2 linked regions of the Stegostoma tigrinum genome follow. The protein of the gene in region 1 interacts with the protein of each later gene in a pairwise test. Links are inferred from orthologs where the notes say so. Each region holds a gene or a part of one and is shown in the gene's direction. Other genes may lie near its edges.

Region 1 (10,293 bases):
CGGGCTGTCGTTCACTGTGTCCCTGCCCCATTCTGTCGGTCACTGTGTCCCTGCCCCATTCTGTCGGTCAGTGTGTCCCTGCCCCATTCTGTCGGTCACTGTGTCCCTGCCCCATTCTGTCGGTCACTGTGTCCCTGCCCCGGGCTGTCGGTCACTGTGTCCCTGCCCCGGGCTGTCGGTCACTGTGTCCCTGCCCCATTCTGTCGGTCAGTGTGTCCCTGCCCCATTCTGTCGGTCAGTGTGTCCCTGCCCCATTCTGTCGGTCACTGTGTCCCTGCCCCATTCTGTCGGTCACTGTGTCCCTGCCCCGGGCTGTCGGTCACTGTGTCCCTGCCCCGGGCTGTCGGTCAGTGTGTCCCTGCCCCAGGCTGTCCGTCACTGTGTCCCTGCCCCATTCTGTCGGTCACTGTGTCCCTGCCCCGGGCTGTCGGTCACTGTGTCCCTGCCCCGGGCTGTCGGTCAGTGTGTCCCTGCCCCGGGCTGTCGGTCAGTGTGTCCCTGCTCCAGGCTGTTGGTCAGTGTGTCCCTGCCCCAGGCTGTCGGTCACTGTGTCCCTGCCCCATTCTGTCGGTCAGTGTGTCCCTGCCCCGGGCTGTCGGTCACTGTGTCCCTGCCCCGGGCTGTCGGTCAGTGTGTCCCTGCTCCAGGCTGTCGGTCAGTGTGTCCCTGCCCCATTCTGTCGGTCAGTGTGTCCCTGCCCCGGGCTGTCGGTCAGTGTGTCCCTGCCCCATTCTGTCGGTCACTGTGTCCCTGCCCCGGGCTGTCGGTCAGTGTGTCCCTGCCCCATTCTGTCGGTCACTGTGTCCCTGCCTCATTCTGTCGGTCACTGTGTCCCTGCCCCATTCTGTCGGTCAGTGTGTCCCTGCCCCGGGCTGTCGGTCAGTGTGTCCCTGCCCCGGGCTGTCGGTCACTGTGTCCCTGCCCCATTCTGTCGGTCAGTGTGTCCCTGCCCCAGGCTGTTGGTCAGTGTGTCCCTGCCCCGGGCTGTTGGTCAGTGTGTCCCTGCCCCATTCTGTCGGTCACTGTGTCCCTGCCCCATTCTGTCGGTCACTGTGTCCCTGCCCCAGGCTGTTGGTCAGTGTGTCCCTGCCCCGGGCTGTCGGTCAGTGTGTCCCTGCTTTGAGGCGCTGACCTTCAATCTTACATTGGAGACTGGGAGACAGAGGCCGGGCCTGTAAGTCTGAGGCTGAGCATGGGGAGAGAAACGAGGAAGAGATAAAGACATGCAAAGCGTCCTCCCATCCCACCATCTTATCAGAAGTTCCTTTGTGAAATCAAGCCATGTTGTTGTCACATGATTATCACCTTGTCAAATATTTCCTGGAAATTAGTCAGGAATGATCTGAATGTCATGTTCAAATCCTGACTCTGCTTGTTACCTGTTTCTAAGTGCTGCTCTGTTTTTTCTGTTATGTTAATCTAACATTTCCCCAGTGATAGATATTGAGCTAACAGGTCTATAGTTAACTTTTCTTTTTGTCTTCCTCCATGTTTTGAACAAGTGTATTATGTTGGCAATCTTCCAACCTCTGGAACTTTACCAGAACATGAGGATTCTTGGAAGATTACTAAAACTGAATCCATTATCTCTGTTGCTATTTTGTTTCAGTTCATAGGATGCAAACCATCATTTCGAGATGATGTATTGATCTTCAGACCCTTTTATTTTCCAAGTACCTTTTCTCTGATAAGCTGTTGCTTTTATTCGCTCCCCCACTTCTCCCTCTCAGTTTTTCCCTATTTTAGGAATGCTGTCATGCTGTTGATGGAGCCGTGTTGAATTTCTGCAGTGCATCTGTGGTGACAGGACTGAATGTTGAAAATGGTGGTTTAAAGCTAACAAAAGCTCAATATAAATGCAAATCCCTCCTTTAGTTCTCATGACACTTCATACAACAATTAGCATAGCATATAACAAGGCTGTTTGAAAGGAAGGACTGGTAACAGTGCCAAAGTCAGCACTTGTCACAAAACAGTGAACCCCCCTCTGCCTTTATGGTACAAAGACTTCCTCTTCCTGCTCTCTGATCACCTGAACTCATTCTCGTAAGTGTGTCTTGTTTCACTTCCTTCCTCTTTCCATTATTTTGAACAATTGTTAACGCTGAAGTAAATAATGAAAAGGGAATGTTTATCTTTCATGGATTATCAGTACATCTTGTTCTGTCAGCCAGTCATAAGAATGGACAGTCTTGGTGCAGAGTTGAGTGATGACGACATTTCCCACTGTCAATGCTGGACTTGCAACAACAGCGACAGATCCACTTATATGTTTGGGCTTCCCTCAGGGAGTGAAACCCTGTTACCATTTTAGGACTGAGACACGGGGCGGCACGGTGGCTCAGTGGTTAGCATTGCAGCCTCACAGCGCCAGGGACCCAGGTTCGATTCCAGCCTCGGGCGACTGTCTGTGTGGAGTTTGCACATTCTCCCTGTGTCTGCGTGGGTTTCCTCTGGATGCTCCGGTTTTCTCCCACAGTCCAAAAGATGTGCAGGCTAGGTAGATCGACTATGATAAATTGCCCATAGTGTTCAGGGGTGTGTGGGTTATAGGAGGATGAGTCTGAGTGGGATGCTTCAAGGGGCAGTGTGGACTTGTGGGGCAGAAGGGCCTGTTTCCACACTGTAGGGAATCTAGTCTAGAAAGTTTCAATGCCTACAATAATGCAATAAGCTTAACGATCAAGTATCCTCGGAGCACCGGCAACAAAGAAAAATATTTTGTGCTTTCATCCTGGGTTTTCACATCCCTCCATCTCTCTGGATCGCTTTAACCTCCACCAACCCACAGCTCCTCAAGATATCTGCTGGCTTCTAACTCTGGCCTCTTAAGTATTGCAAGATTCAATGACACACGCAATGGTGAGCATTCCTTCAGCTCCTGCTTGTAAAATGTTGAAACTTGTACCCTCATTTCTCTCTCCACCTGCCTCTCATCTTTTAATACCTTCCTTAAAACCGACGTCTTCCATCTGAATCATTTTGTGACTGGTGTCAAATTTCGTTTGCTGATGCAGCTGTGAAACAATTTGGGACACCTTACTGTTTTAAAGGCATGACATATATGCAAGATGATGTTGTTGTTATAAGCCTTTTTAAGTTATATTCATGAGTCAACCATCTGAATTTTGTTTTAGAAAGAGTTGACCTTTGCTGAAAATAGAGGGATGTTGTTTAAGTTTCTCTTGTTTGGCACTCATCTGGACAGAATTGCAAGAATTTCAAATTTGAAAGGGAACAACAATTTGTACTATGTGTGAAAAAGGTTTTGATTAGTTGTCAGTTCACTTCTGATTGATCTGGGCACTGCCATGGAAGAATGTTTTTATACACACATAACCTGTGTGTGTTGTACGGATGTGTATATATAATTGGTGAATCCAATTCTAAGTGCAACATATTGCCCATCATCTGAGAGACAGGAGAAAAACAGTGGCAGAGACTGATAGTGAATACACAAGCACACATTGGGTGTGATGGTACAGTAACACATGAATCAATTGGCCTTTTGTGTGCACGAAACAGGATCAGTCTGCCTGATGTAGGAATGTCACAAGCAGGTTCTGGGAGATATGCATGGCTGGGCTGGTCTCCAAGCTTGTCCAAATTAAACAAGTGTTAAATATTGTCCACACAGACAGAAGCACGGTAGAGCTGAACTGAACTGCAATCTTCTCCTTGCCAGGTACCAGGGGCCCATGAGATCTGATGACGCAGTTACCAGGTGGCTGTTAACCTCATATGCTGCACCTGAAGTTACCGTGGGTTGGTTTTTGGCTTTTTCATTCTGAACAGATGGCATCACATCTGTCACCTTTTCCTGGATGCTCACACACTGAAAACACAGACTTTCTGCTGATTATTGATTTAATCCTCCCAACCTGCATGTATGACGTGCAAAGCAACTGTCCTTTAGCACACAGTTCCCAGTGCCAGCCATGTGAAGGTGCCAGCTAATGGGTGGCAGCTCGGAAGTAAAGTGTCTGCCAAAAAAAAGTACCTGAACAACTTGTCATATGACTGAGCTGAGTCTGCAGACCGAGCTTTCCTGTTATGGACCACACCAAAACCCCTCAGAAGATGGACTAGACCCAAACCTTTTCTGATTTTGAAGCTAAATGTAAGGTGTTGTGTTCGAGATGCAATTTGTTTGTTCAGACTACTTCTGATTTATCTTCTCATTTAAAGCAAAATACACTTTATTCATCTCCTATCATTAAAACACAACAAAAGAATAAAGGAATTGGAATAACTTACAAAATAAAAACTGAAAGAACTACAGAAGTTAAAAGTCAGAGACAAACATAGAAATTGCTGTAAAAGCTCAGCAGGTCTGACAGCATCTATTAAGAGAAAACACAGTTCACGTTTCGGGTTGAGTGAGCCTTCCCTTCAGTTCTGAGGCAGGATCACTCGACCCAAAATGTTAACTCTGAAATCTCTCCACAAATGTTGCCAGACTGGCTGAGCTTTTCCAGCAATTTCTATTTTTGTCATTGGAATAACTTAACTCTATTGGAAAACTTAACACAATAATAGATACAGTAACAATTACCTTGTCCAATATTGCAACATCCCACAAACACACCCTTGGCAAAATCCAAATTCAGAACGTAGATTGTCTCATACACAACTCTATTAACAGACAGAGAACCTCTAGAATTTGGCTGTAACCGAGAGAAGGTAAAAATGCCTTTAATTTCTTCCAGATTCCAACAACAACTGCTGAAAGCTAAAACTAAAATCCCTGGTTCTGTGGATGGGAACCTGACCCCACCCTTTCAGGCCACTTCTATTGTTCCAACTGATTAAAAAAAATCCATGGCTTCACAAGTTTATCTTCTCATAGACTACCTGGTGCCTGCCGCCCAATCTCAGTCTAAAAGGAATCAAGACAAAACACACCTCTTCAAGCCACAACATTGCCAAACTGCCACAATCCAAGGAAGCATTCTCATGTGGAGGTGCTGGTTTCTGGTGACCAGGTTAATGACTTAATGCGACTGCTTGAATGCAAATACCAGACCATCTCTGAGCCAAAATGTTTCCCTTGCACTTTGTTGTCAGGGGAATAAACTTCCAACCTCAACTCAAATGGAGGAAAGTGCTCTCAACTCTACAAAGCATTTAGCCAATTTCTACCCACTTATGGGTGCTCATCCGCTTCTGACAATGGAGACTTACAACAGAGATAATGGGAACTGCAGATGCTGGAGAATCCAAGATAACAAAGTGTGAAGCTGGATGAACACAGCAGGCCAAGCAGCATCTCAGGAGCACAAAAGCTTACGTTTCGGGCCTAGACCCTTCATCAGAGAGGGGGATGGGGAGAAGGAACTGGAATAAATAAAGAGGGGGAGGCGGACTGAAGATGGAGAGAAAAGAAGATAGGTGGAGAGGAGAGTATAGGTGGGGAGGTAGGGAGGGGATAGGTCAGTCCAGGGAAGACGGACAGGTCAAGGAGGTGGGATGAGGTTAGTAGGTAGGAGATGGAGGCGCGGCTTGAGGTGGGACAAAGGGATGGGTGAGAGGAAGAACAGGTTAGGGAGGCAGAGACAGGCTGGACTGGTTTTGGGATGCAGTAGGGGGAGGGGAAGAGCTGGGCTGGTTGTGTGATGCAGTGGGGGGAGGGGACGAACTGGGCTGGTTTTGGAGATAATGGGAACTGCAGATGCTGGAGATTCCGAGATAATAAAATGTGAGGCTGGATGAACACAGCAGGCCAAGCAGGACTGACCTATCCCCTCCCTACCTCCCCACCTACACCCTCTCCACCTATCTTCTTTACTCTCCATCTTCGGTCCGCCTCCCCCTCTCTCCCTATTTATTCCAGTTCCCTCCCCCCATCCCCCTCTCTGATGAAGGGTCTAGGCCCGAAACGTCAGCTTTTGTGCTCCTGAGATGCTGCTTGGCCTGCTGTGTTCATCCAGCCTCACATTTTATTATCTGGGCTGGTTTTGGGATGCGGTAGACTTACAACAGGTTGTTTCATTCATCCAGCAGAAAGATGTCAGTGTTTAATCCTAAATTAGATGTCCAGCAAGCCCTTTTCAGACTGGACGCAGATAAATCTGTCAGCAGATAATCGCTTTAGTACCAGCAAAATGGACATTGCAACGCTTAGGCCAATACCTATCTCGTAATACAACTCACTCTTTGCCTTAGCAAAAAATGCTAACATCATTTGTTTTTAACCTGCTGTTCTGCAGCATGAGAGTAGCCAGGGTTGGGCTGGAAATCTGCAAAGAATGTGTAACTTCCTTCCTTGAACAGAAAGCAGCAGCTCGAACTCAGTGACGGAATTGCACGGGGGCATTTGGTGAATCTATATACTAATTCTGCCCTTGCTCACTGAGCTTGCTGCACACGCACTCGTCCTGCAGGGCAAAGTGCTGTCTGTTTGCGGGCTTGGAATGTGCTGGCTGGGACAGCCCATTTTGTTCCTGAGGTAGAGAAACATCAACGCGAGAGAGATAAAGAAACGCACCCTTGTGGTCAGGCATTCTTTGGGAGAAGCCTCGTGTGCCCCGGAATGTAATCACGGAGAGAAAGCCTTTACTACTTTCAGACAGCAACTTCGAACACACATCCCGCTGTAATCTGGATGAGTTTTTACCCCGCAGCCAAGTCCCAGGGACTCTCGAATTCCTCTCCAGTGACTTTATTTGAGTCTATTGTGTTTTTTTGCACTGTCCAGTTATGTGCAGCCTTGGCTCAAGGCGACGTTGCTGGCATGCGATTGGTTCAGGATCTGGCAAGAGTTCAGCAGCCCGAAGAACTCAAGCCGTCAATGCAGGAGCTGCAGTCCCACTGCAGCATTGAAGGCTCTCTGTGTCTGTGTGTGTGTGACTCTGTGAGAGCCTCTTTCAGCATCACGGGCATCTCTGCGACCACTGACAAAAAATTCAGAATGGGAGGGTCTCAGTCCCAGCACCAGCTCAAGGGAGGGGTGAGACCTTTAAAAGAGAAGGCCAGCATGTAAGTCACCCATCATCTAACCATCTTTCAGTTTCAATGCGGGAGTAACTAGTTACCAATTCGATTTTAGTCTATCTCTTTCTTTTTAAGTGTCATTTGCTCAGCCACTGCATACAGGCTTGAGTGGCTAATTCCGTTTTAAATGCAAGTGTATCATATGTGGTGTTCATCTAATGTATGTTCTGGTCAATGTGTTTTTTTCTTGTACCATCCCTTATTTTGAGAATTTATCCATGTTGCAAAGATCTGAGAACAGGGTGAGCTGTGAGTGGTATCAGTGGGAACCAGCAAATCAAGGTCAGCTTGTCTGTTCAAAAAGATTCTATCATTGTCTCGCTTCTGTTTTCATTTCTTTTCTAAAAATTATTCATGAGCCACTAGGCCTAGTCTGTTTGACATTCATTTCATTACAGGGAGGAAGTGCCCCAGTTTCCCCATCCATTCACTGAAGGAATTCTATTTTGGAAAGATGAGAATTCTGATCCAGACCCATGTTGGCTGGTCTTGATTGACTGATCCAGCTTGTGGTGCACTGCAATGTCATGAGTTTCAGTCACACTCTTGTTTACAAGAAGAAACTGCTCATGTGCCTTTACAGACACCTCTTCCAAGTTCAACTGCACCCAGCTGGGTTATATCAGTGTTCATAATTGATAATAAACTTCAAGCACTAGCATAGAAAATGTAAATCCACAACAGACTTGCTGCAGTGTTACTGCTGTTCCTTTAACCCTTTTATCTCCTCTTGTTAACTCTTGCTTTGAGAAGTACATTTTGACTGAGCTTTTACCCTGCGGAGTGGAGAATATTGAGGGATCTTTGTGGTCATGTGGCCTGCCAGGGATATTAACCTCAGGGGGAAAGAACCGGGTGACCAGATCCAATCAACAGCCGGAGCTTTTCACAAGGCCTCAAAATCACCTGACCCAGTCTGCTCCCAAGTCCATGGCAATCCCACAGTTTTGATGGAAAATGAACACTCTGGATGGAGGTAAACCTATCCCAGCATCCATAACAAGAGTGGCAGCTCTCTATTAATGTTATGCACCTCCTCTCTCAGCGTTCTTATTTGCTTTGTCAGTTTCCAAGTGAAGTGCCTGCTATTCGACAAAGGGAGTGAATTTGCAAAGAGATGTATGTCATGACTGTCGTAGATGCTCTGTTCATAAAATTACTTTGAAAATGGTCGGTTGAACAGTCAGTGTGCACTTTGCCCTTTGTCAGGCATGGTGGCTGTGTGGGGAACTGAAGAACAAGGTAATATCTCAGGGGAAAATGAATCCAACTGTTTGCTTTCAGGACAATGTGCAAGATGCAATCCAAACATGTTTTCACCTGCACCGCAACTTGTGCAACAGCAGCTCTGCTCATTGTACAGTTCCAGGCTCCATCAAGTGAGCTTAGCCCTAAAACGAGCAAGTGTTGATCTATCTTGTCTGTATTGATGGGCTGGATGACTCATTGATTATTTACATAGTGGGAAAGGGACGGGATGAAGGTGTTTCAATCAGGGAGGATGGAGACTGTTGTGTATGTCTCTTGGTCAGTATTTTGATCAGAGACAAGCTCAGGATATCATGACTATGTCACAGCATGTGGCCTGAGGGTATAAAGGTCTTGACTCCGTTTTAACTTGGGCCACTTGAAGCTTGACACGCTGATTAACTCTTTGTAACTGAATGGCTGAAGGTTAGCCCAGACATGGAAGTCACCTGTTAATGTAATATTTGTTTCGTTTTGTGAGTTGGATTAATATATGTTGGAGTTTTCATATTATGTTCCTGCATCTCAATTTTAATGTAATGAGAAGTGATGCTATCTAACATTGCTGCATCGAGATACCCTGGAAAACATGAGTCAGCAAAAAACTTGGCAGGTGGAATACAATGCGGGAAAATGTGAGGATACGTCCCTTGGTAGGAAGAACAGAAGAGCTGAATGTTATTTAAATGGATAAAGACTGCAGAAGGATTTTGGATTCCTTATGGATACAACTTCAGCAGGTAACAGTGAAGGACAATATTCGTTGTCATTTCAAAGGGAATGATGTATAAATATGGGGAAGTCTTTGCTAAAACTAGACAAGGGTCTCAGGACACCACATTTCAGAATACTGTGAACAGCTTTGATCCCTTTATTTAAGAAAAAATATACTGGCATTCAGGTAGTCCAGAGAAGGTTCACCAGGCTGATCCCAGGTATGGACGGACTGATGTATGAGGCCAGGTTGAATAGGTTGGGCTTGTACTCATTGGAGTTTAGAAGAATGAGAGACAGCTAATGAAACCTTCAAAAAGATTCTTGGGGGCTTGACAGAATTGATGTGTAACAGTTGTTTCTCTGCACGGGGAAGTGGAGGACCAGAGGACACCATCTCGGATTAAGGGGGTCATCTATTTTAGAGAATGAGGAGGAATTTTTTTCTCTCGGAGGCTAGTGAATCTGTGGAATTTGGTACCGCAGAGGTCTTGTTGAGGCTGGGTCATTAAGTCTATTCAAGGCTGAGATAGGTTTTTAATCAGTAAGGGAATCGAGAGTTTTGGGGAAATGGTAAGAAAGTGGATTTGAAATTTGTTATAACAAGGTGTAGAGCTGGATGAACACAGCAGGCCAAGCAGCATCAGAGGAGCAGGAAGGCTGACGTTTCGGGTCGAGACCCTTCTTCAGTGTATTGGCAGACAAGGGGGTGAGACACAAGCAGTCATTTGGAACTCAATCCACCGTTCCTCAGCTGTGCTGTTTGGGACCCCCAAGACTCTGGTCTATGTCACAAAGCAAATACAACATCGACCCTTCCTACAGTTGGATCTTGTCATCCAGCCGCTCTACATTTGGGCATGTTGTTTCTCAGCTTCCCAAACTGTGCTGAAACACAATGTACTCACAAAGGCATTCCAATGTCTTCATGGTCTGTTGCATGTGACCTCAGTTGTATTCTGCGCTGGGTGTGATGTTTTTGCTGTGGAAGAGATGCCAGGAAATCATTGAGGCACAAAAGGGTATGGGAGGGAGGAAAGGAAGGGCTGTAGGTGGGGGAAAGGCACAAACAGGGGTGGGGCTATCAAATGTTAGACGGTGGTGCACATAGAGAAGTTTGCAATGTGGGGGAGTGTAGTGAAAGGCTACTAGAGGGTAGGTAAGGGAGCTAAAATAACTCCACAGAGGCTGGTGTCCTGTCACCAAACATCCCTTTATTTACGTGCGCATCGTACATGGACTCTGACCAGCCTGCCCAGAGCCAGTCCCTAGAGTGAGGAGAATCCCTGACACTCTTGTTTATATCTATTAGCCAGGGGTCCCTGATTAGCCCAGGTT
Region 2 (9,887 bases), on another chromosome or scaffold:
GTCTGTTGTAGGAAAAGTTTTGGAAAAGATTATAAGAGATAAGATTTATACTCATCTAGCAAACCACAATTTGATTGGAGATAGTCAGCATGGATTTGTCAAGGGCAGGTCGTGTCTCACAAACCTTACTGAGTCTTTTCAGAAGGTGACCAAGCATATGGATGAGAGAGGGCAGCTGACGTGGTGTACATGGACTTCAGTAAAGCCTTTGATAAGGTTCCACATGGTAGGCTATTGAAGAAAATACGAAGGCATGGGATTGAGGGAGATTTAGCAGTTTGGATTAGAAACTGGCTTTTTGTAACGAGTGGTGATTGATGGAAAATATTCAGCCTGGAGTCAAGTCACTAGTGGTGTGCCTCAAGGATCTGTTTTGGGACCACTGCTGTTTGTCATTTTTATAAATGGCTTGGATGCAGACATAAGTGGATGGGTTAGTAAGTTTGCAGATGACACTAAAGTCTGTGGAGTGGTGGACAGTGTGGAAAAATGTTGCAGGTTGCAGGAAGACTTGGATAAACTGCAGAATTGGTCTGAAAGGTGGCAAGTGGAGTTCAATGCAGATAAATGTGAGGTGATTCACTTTGGGAAGAATAATAGGAAGGCTGAATACTGGGTCAATGGAAAGATTCTTGGTAGTGTGGACGTGCAGAGGGATCTTGGTGTCCATGTACATAGGTCCCTGAAAGTTGCCACCCAGGTTGATAGTGCTGTTAAGAAGGCTTATGGTGTGTTAGGTTTTATTGGTAGAGGGATTAAGTTCCGGAGCCGTGATGACATGCTGCAACTGTACAAAATGCTAGTGCGGCCTCACTCGGAATATTGCATGCGGTTCTGGTTGTCCCATTACAGGAAGGATGTGGAAGCATTGGAAAAGGTGCAGAGGAGATTTACCAGGATGTTGCCTGGTCTGGAGCGCAGGATCTATGAAGAAAGTGTGAGGGACTTGGGACTTTTCTCATTGGAGAGAAGAAGGCTAAGAGGGGATTTAATAGAGACATACAAGATGATCAGAGGATTAGATAGGGTGGACAGTGAGAGTCTTTTTCCAATGATGACGACGTCAGCTTGTACGAGGGGGCATAGCTACAAATTGAGGGGTGATAGATTTAAGACAGATGTCAGAGGCAGGTTCTTTACTCAGAGAGCGGTAAGGGCGTGGAATGCCCTGCCAGCCAATGTAGTTAACTCAGCCACATTAGGGGCATTTAAACAGTCCGTGGATAAGCATACGGATAATGATGGGATAGTGCAGGGGGATGGGCTTAGATTAGTTCACAGGTCGGCGCAACATCGCTGGCCAAAGGGCCTATTCTGCGCTGTCATGTTCTATGGTCTATGTTCCTTCATTTTGCTGACAGTGATGGCAAGATTGTTGTCTTTACACCAATGCCACTAAGCAATCAATCTCTTTCCTGCATTCTGTCTCGTTATTTGAGATCGGTATATATATGATGGTCATGTCGTCATCAAACTTTTAAATGGAGTTGAAGTGGAATTTAGCCACACGGTTGAGAGTGTATAAGAAAGTAATAAGTTTCCACGAACAACTTAATTTTGGATATCACTGCCACCAAGTTTGATCCTGACTCTACACAAGATCCGGCCTACTGCACTTCTGCTCAGAGGTTCACTTAATAACAATAGAGGATAACAATGGCTCATCTTCACCAAATGCTATGGTGAATTTAACACCTCAACTGCTGCTCCCACGGTGATCAGGTGATTCCACAATTTGAAATCTGATACTTTTCTGTCTGATTTATCAGACTTTGTGTCTGCGATCTCTTATTGCAATGAAACTAAATGTCACTAAACGTCAGGAACACTGAAGCCACAGTCTTTGATCCCCACTACAAACACCATGCTAAATCATTATTTCATTCCCTTTTCCTTGTTCCGCCAAAGTCAAGCCAGGTTTGGGTATTGTATTAGGCTCCAGAATGAACTTCCAACCACATATTCACTCTATCGCCAAGACTATCTATTGCTACCTCAGCTACTTCACCTGAATTTAATGCAGATTTAGTCATCTCCTGCTGGAGTTCTCAACTATGTCTTTGTTACTGCTAGACTTCACACCTGACCTCCCATCTGCCACTGGTCATAAATTTATGCTCATCCAGAACTCTGTCACTGTATCTAAACTTACACCAAGTTCCATTCACCTACTGCCATGCTGCTTGTTTCCCTGTGTGTCAACAGTAGGAAAAATTCCTGTCCTTATTTTCAAATCCCTCTATCCTCATGCCTCTACCTATCCCTGTAATCTCTACTGGTCCCTACAAGGAATAAAGTGAATGAACTGTAAGTATATGTCACTTCTGGTGGTATGGCATGGTTGTCATCACTGAATCATGGCTGCAAGATAGTCTGGGCTAGGAATTATAGCCTGGGCATGTAATATCTACAGAAGTGATTGGCAAGATGCTAGAGGACAAGAAGTGTCTTAAAAAATAAAATAAAATATATATAAAATAGTGCAAACACTCAAAAAAATATAATGAGAGATAAGCAAGCAGTGGAGACTTTATGACTGACAAATAGAAAAGAGTTCATGACTGAAGTATAAGTTGTGTCTTGGCCTTCTGGTAGCATCTGCAATACAGTAGGCTGTACAAAGGCTCAGACATAAAAATAGAGTGAAGGCATAGTAGCTTTCATTTTCACCTAGACTGGAATAAGTAGATTAGCATGTCAGAATTGTAGTGAATCTCATAACTGCATCTACAGAAATACATCTTTGAGAAAACACTGCGCAATATTAGATTCAATAAAACCAGACTTTAGTTAACAATCTAACAGCATACAAACATTTATCTAATGGCAATCAGAACGTGATTGAGTTCAACACAGTGTTCAAAGTGGAGAAATGAGAAATTGCTATTCAGATTCTAGATTTATACGACAGTCTTCAAAGGGATGAGTTTTAGTTATAAGTCAACCATAATAAACAAAACAAATCAAATCTGCTTTTTGTCAAATGTTTTAAGAGGTGGCAAGTCAGAAAACCAAGCAGCTGAATTTTCTGATGAAAGATAGTCAGCATTGTGGATGGAAGGTTAATTGTTGAGACCTTCCTCTATTTAATATTATACTTTGAAAATGTGAGGTGAGAGCTGAAGGTCGGCTTTGGGCTGTGAGCAGCAGCCTTCTTTGTAAAGCAAAACAATAATTGACTGATGCTTGTATACAAGGCCTGGCCTAAAAGTTAATTGCAGGTTGATTCTTGTTAAAAAGTGCTCTACAGATGCTTGCACTCCAGAGAAGCATTACGCTCAAACGAATGCCACATGTTTGCCTAGTAACAGAAGCCTCACAGACAACGAGAAACCAAAGTTCAAACTGGTTTTGAACTGTATTTAAGTCGGAAGGATTTTGGCTACCACAGCTACAGGATGATTAGATTGCTGCTTGAATGTTGTCTCATACTGAAAGTTCAGGCAATAGAGTTTCAGTTATCAGAACAAAAATAAATATTCCTCAAAGCTTACTGAAGGCTATGCGCATACATCAGCATCTTCAGAAATCAAGCAAGATACAATCTCATGAGCCCGTAATGTTCTAATTGTGGAGGCTGCTTAAATGAACTGGCCAGTTACAACTCTTTTTTTTTTCTTTTTTGATTTATCTCTTAACTGTGTCTTTTTATCTTTGAGTGAGGGGCTGGAATCAAAGAAAATTAGTCTTAAAACACAGATATTAATTGGATTACATTGTGGCTTAAATTTGCTCTGATAAAGCTACTGTATTATTTAAAAATTGTGGCATGTTTTGTTTAAGCTTTAAACATGGTGTCTCAGTGTTGTGATTATTCAAAACATCTGGTTAGAAACCATTGGGGTCTACTGAGGTTCAGTGACTATTTTAATTTTCTGTGTTGTGGATACAGGGATAGGGATGATTTGGCTGGGTGTCTCTGTGTCATAACATAATATTACATAGAAATCAACAGATGAAGTGAATGGGTTAAACTGTGTCAAACGCATTTCAACTTGGCAAGCAAATATGAAACCATCCACCATGGGCCAAAACAAAAAGAGGTCAAGGAACAGTACTTACTGAAATACTAAAAAGCTAGAGATAGTACAGATCAAAATAGCTTTGGGAAATTCAGGTCCATAAATTATTGAAGTTTCACGAACAGGTACAGAACATAATCATAAAGTTGAATGGAATGCTGGCTTCTGTATGCAGAGGATTAAAATGCAAATTGGCAGATGGAACACTTTTGCAACGAAAAGGACAAATCCTTCTCCTATCTAGCTTCATACTGAAAACTACTGGGCACAAGTAGCTCGGATGCTTATCTTCCCCACAGAAACATGCTAAATGGAAGATCAGGCTAAATTAGATACGTCACCAGCCAGGTGACAGAGGAGACACACCGAAAGAACAAGCCTGCTTCCTGGTGGGATCCAACCAGTACATTTGAAACATTACAATATGAGAAGACAGAACGACAAGTTAACTAACATGTACGTACATTTTATATTTAATTTTGATTTTTTTTAAAAACCAAAGAACTCGAAATATTTTAAATTTTCACTAACATGATTTTGTTCCTTACAATTCACCTATGCCCAATCTGATGTTGCAGACTTATCTTCAACTGCACTTGCTCTAGGTCAAGAAATTAAGTAGTGCAATTAGAGGCTTTACCTGCAGCTTTGGGGGTTGAGAAGTTACATTCCCTGTCCAGGGTCCCTCCTTGGGAGGATTTCAAAGGCATATGAACCCTCCTGGAATGAGAAGCCAGGCTGAGTTCCAGATATGCACGATGACTATTCATTCTCTAAATGAGCATTCCGCAATGGATTTGCCAAAACGTCCTGTGATATACACTTACCGCCTTACTGAGATCATGAGGTAAATAGGCCCAGTAGGGATTGAACTGGATGCAGTAATCTTTTGTATTTCCATGTTCCTTATCAGATAGGACGTGGACCATTCCATACTCAGTCACCACCTGCATATTTCAGGGTAAAGTGCATCAGCAAAGCAACTCCAGAATGTATAAACAATGCCAGCCCACGTATGTCTCAAACCCACAAATAACTCAGTTCCTGAATTAACGCACTACATTTTGCGCAAGATGACTAACTGCACAATTACGCTCTTCATTTCCATTTTGATCATTGTTAATGATTTAATTCACTGTCAACAATACTGAGATAAAAGTTTCCTTGATCCAAGAGAAGAGAATATTCTACCACAAATGACGCATTTGAACCATGCATTGGAATTAACAGCCGGTTCAAGGGACTGTTTTTTGAAGGCCAGTGATTGCAATGACACATACTCTGCCCCACTCAGTGATGCAGGGAGAGGAGTAAGGGGTTAGGACATGAAGAAAAGTGCCCCAAGGGGGGGAAACATGGGGACTGTTGGAGGGGAGAGAAAGGGTTTGCGAGGATTAGGATGACAGGGAGAATTCGGATAGTAGTTGGAGCCAATAGAGGATGGTCTATAGTTAAAGGGGAATGGGGGAATAGCAGAGAAGTGTGGGGGTGTTTGTGGGAGGATTGGGGAGATTGCGGGGGATTTGGGGAGATTGAGCAGTGAGAACAATTGAGGGGCAAGGGATGGGGGATAGCGGGGGATGCAGGGATTGCAGAGGAGAATGGGGGAATAGCAGGGTGTGTGGGGTTTTGCAGAGAGGATGGGGAGACTGCGGTGGGGTGTGGGGGAGTGGGGAGACTGCAGGGTTGGAGTATGGTGATGTTGTGGGGGACAGGATGGGGTGATTGGATGGTGAGGATTGTGAAGGAAGGTGTATGGGGAATAGTGGGGGGGGAGCAGATTGGGTAGAAAGGAAAGAGGGAGATGCAGAGCTGGCCTGGGGCTGAGGGTGACAGGTGTCTAGTCGGGTCCTGGGACTTGGGGGACGGGGAGAAGGAATGGGGTGCCGGCCCGGCCCCCGGGCTGATACCTGACTGAGCTGAAGGACGAACAGCAGCAGCCTCACTCCCAGCGCCATCTTTCGGATGAGGTTCGGACCCCTCCAGAGACCACAATGGTAGCGTCCACTCAGGGTCCGAACAATCCAAACACACAAAAATAGGGGGAGCCTATTTTGAGGAAAGCCGGCGGCGAACGGCCGATTAACTTCGGTTTTGACTGGAGACCCAGAAGCGGCCGGTGCCGAGGGGAGGGACCCCTGACGGTGAGGGGCGGGGCAATGGGGCGGAGACAGCCGGAACTCGGGTCGGCTGCCGAGGTTAAAGGTCATGGGGTTGTGGGGTTAGAGGTCGTGGCCGTGATGATGGCGGTGAGTGTGTGTGTGCGGTCTTTGCTGGTGGCTGAGTTTTAAAATCTCGGGGGTTGTGTTTGGGGAAAAGAAGGCCTGTTAATGGCCCACTGGAGCCTCCGGTTACATTTATTATCTAATTCTTTCCTTGGGCCTATGAAAGTGGAACACCGGTTTTGTTATAACCCCCCCCCCCCCCCCCCCAATTTGGCGGTTTGTTCGTGGCCGTGTCAGAATCTCTGAGTGGGACCAGGTCGATTTAGCTGTCACGGAAACCTTGCGGGCTATCGGAGGCTCGGGTACCGATCACGAGAAGCTCGGATTGCAAGAATCGGGTTCTAACTTTCTTTGTTTTTGTTTCTTTGAATTCAGGATAAGGAGAAGAAAAAGAAGGAGAGTATTCTCGACCTCTCCAAGTACATAGACAAAACAATCCGTGTGAAATTTCAAGGTGGACGAGAAGGTGCAGTTTTTTAAAATTTCGTCTATATATGTTACGTAAGGTTGACTTTTACCAGACTACAACAGCTGTAGTCTTTCCCCAACCAAAATAGGCAGGCTGTTTGGACAAACGTGGTTGAGTTTGGGAAAGGCTTAGGGGCTAGGAGCAGGTAGGTGGGACTGGTTTTAGTTTGGAATTGTAGTCCACATGGACTGCCTGGACCGAATGGTCTCTTTCTGTGATTGGGAAAGATAAAAGAACTGTGATACAAATTGTATCAAACCAATAAAAAGTCAGTATAAACCACATCTTATTCCTTTAGGAGTAGTGCTGTAAGTATTGTTTTACTACTTAGTTTAAGCTGGTCAGAGGCTCCTGTAAATTCTTCAATTTGGTTAAAAAGCTGCTGAGGTCAACTTCAAAATGACTAGAATCTCTAACAATAATCTTTCACCTTCAAGACAATGAATTGGGAAATGATGTAGATACTACACTTACTGAAGAATTGTTTTAGTTCTTTGCTGTTAAATTCATAAGGTAAAATGACTTCAACTGAGAATTTGAAGCTTTACTGTTTCAGAACAGTTTCATTGGTTGTTACTGAAGTCTGCTTTGGGAAAGTTTGGGTGTTGAAGGGGAAAACAGTAAAAGATCTTGTGTATTTTGAGGTAATGTATGTTTTGACTCTTGTATAGTGTCTGATGTTGTAGTTCACTTGAAATTTGGTGAAATGTGTTTGGTTTTTTTTTGACAGCTAGTGGGATTCTGAAAGGATTTGACCCACTCCTCAATCTTGTATTGGATGGAACAATAGAGTATGTGAGAGGTAAGCCCCAAAGATGTTCCTAGTTTTTATAACTTGATGGACAATCTATGAAACAAAAATTGTGAAGTGTATTCTAGACTACAAAAGTGTAGAGTTGGATGGACACAGCAGGATCCGAGGAGCAGGAAGGCTGACATTTTGGGCCCAGCATCTGCAGTTCCTACTATCTCTGTCTGTAAAGTGACTTCCAGTTTTTCTGATTTGAAAAACATTGTATGACTTTTGATTTTAGTTTTTTTTTGCATAGCTCCTCTTCTCTTTATCATCTTCCCTTCTAAACACTTTTGTATGCAGCTTAATTTTCAGCTGTATTTTCTACCTGCTAGTTACCATAAACACTTTTTTTTTCTGTTTTTTTTATCCAAAGAGCTCTGGATTTTTCTTTTGCTGTATTTTTGTGAGGAAATATACATTGTGCCAGAACCCTTTTTTTTTTGTTTTAATCTATCTTTTGGAAGGCATCTTATTGCACATGTAATCTTTCACTCTGCCCTTTTGATCCAGACTAACAAGAACAAGTCTGTTCTTGCCCCATTAAAGTCTGCTCTGTCTAATTATCCTTAGTTTGCTTTGTCTCTTGTTGCCACGGTCCTCCCAAATTTCATGATACAATGATCACTGTACCTTTTTTTAAAGGTTACCCTACTGATACTACTTCCTAAGAAGTAAGTCCAGCAGTGCTTTCTTTTTTAACTTGTTGCATTGATGTACTGCTGTTGGAAATTCTTTTAAATGCATTCCAAGAATGTATGTTTGTTTGCTTTTCTCTTTTTCCTAACTACCACTATTCCAACTTCAATTGGAGTAATTGAAATCTCCCACATACTCTTTGCTTGCATTATTCTGTAATTTCCTTACTGATTTGTTCCTCTACATCCCTATTACTAACTGGTGGCCTGTAAACTACACCCAGCAATATAATGGACTCCCCTTGTACCTTTTGCTCCAGCCAAGTTGATTCTGTCCTTGAAGCCTTTTTTTTCCTCCCAAGCAGCTGTCCTTCACCAAGATTACCACTGCGTTGCTTTCTTGCTTTACCCTCTCCCTGTAACTAGGAATGTTTAGTACTTAGTTCAGCCTTTCCTTTGCCCAGCCTGTTATTGCCACAGTATTATAACTCAATGTGGCGATCTGTACTTGTAACTTGTCAATCCTGTTTACTTCCATTCATATGCACAGTTGTAATTTCTCCCTTTAATCCAGTTATTAATTTGTTCTACACTCTAATCTTTTAATGAGCTTTCTAAATTCTTACTACAGGACTACATCACCACTCATTTCTACATAAATACCAATGTAGACCATGATCTGCAGTTGAACGCATCCCTCGGGAAGAATGTCCTGTAATTACTTTGTGACATTCTTGATTCTAACACCTGTGAAAGAAAATGCATTGCTGGCATCACATCTTTGACTGCAGAAATGTCTCTAGTCTCCTAACAAATCAGTTCCTTTTTAACTGCTGCTTTCCCCCTTTTCCTTCCTTCCCTCCCAAATAGCTGGCTCACTCATGTTGCCATAGGCTTAGCATCTCCTCTGAAAACCTTTACCATTATCAGAATGAAAACTGATTCTTGAGTTAAACCCCTGCATTGTCTTCCTGGTTCTCTTGGACTGTCTGATAGTCACATGTTCCTGATCTGCCTGCATGCCTCTAACCTACACTTATACTGGCTCTGTGAACATGCTGTCTGTAACTTGCAGCCTCGTGGATGCAATGCAGTTGGTCTGCTTTCTGTAACTAGTGGTACTTGTATATATTCTTCCAGGTCATTTTCAGGATTCTAGATGAATAAACTCGCAGTTCTCCCACAGGTATTGCTTTTCTTAAACTTGGTGCTTTCATACAGCTTCTCAGCTCCTTGTCCCCAAGTCTTTGTAAGTGATCAGAAGTGTCAGACATTAAGTAAAGTGTCAAAAATTGAAGGGATCTCCTGTAATCCAATTAATTGAGGTAGAGGTGTAATTAGAATTTTTTAAAAATTCTGTTTGGAGACAAACCAAGCAGCTGGAATAACATGGGTATAAAAGTCACACACCAAGGGTCTAACCAAAGTAACAAGTAATCCAAAACTCTACAAATTAAGGTAGAGGGAGATCCTCAGAAGTTATAAAGGTGATCGTGTCCAAAAGGGCAAGTAAGGAAGATTTTTTTTTACAGTTGCAGAGCAGTTATGGGTTTGCATGTAGTGTGACATGAAGCCAAGATCACAGTTGAGGGTGCCTTCATGGGCATGGAACTTGGCCATCAGTTTCTGCTTTGCCATTCAGTGTAAATCCAGAATTGATTATTCCAGCATACATGTCACCTGCCTTCCATGTTATGACATCCATAAACTTGCCATCCAAAATTCTACTGCCTGTTGTCA

The links.
Region 2: the proteins of tacc1 (region 1) and lsm7 interact in binary tests that used the Homo sapiens proteins (3 or more experiments, as listed by UniProt). The link is inferred for Stegostoma tigrinum from reciprocal best matches to the Homo sapiens genes TACC1 and LSM7.

What each region holds. Positions count from the first base shown.
Region 1 is NC_081393.1:12,116,040-12,126,332, forward strand, and holds the start of tacc1 (transforming acidic coiled-coil-containing protein 1), read left to right. Parts: upstream 1-6,374; 5' UTR 6,375-6,604; coding exon 6,605-6,978; intron 6,979-10,293. UniProt on the Homo sapiens protein: Involved in transcription regulation induced by nuclear receptors, including in T3 thyroid hormone and all-trans retinoic acid pathways. Might promote the nuclear localization of the receptors.
Region 2 is NC_081383.1:26,723,965-26,733,851, forward strand, and holds the start of lsm7 (U6 snRNA-associated Sm-like protein LSm7), read left to right. Parts: upstream 1-6,195; 5' UTR 6,196-6,262; coding exon 6,263-6,271; intron 6,272-6,622; coding exon 6,623-6,713; intron 6,714-7,446; coding exon 7,447-7,518; intron 7,519-9,887. Other genes in the region: sppl2 (signal peptide peptidase-like 2), read right to left, coding at 4,850-4,969, 5,933-5,980. UniProt on the Homo sapiens protein: Plays a role in pre-mRNA splicing as component of the U4/U6-U5 tri-snRNP complex that is involved in spliceosome assembly, and as component of the precatalytic spliceosome (spliceosome B complex).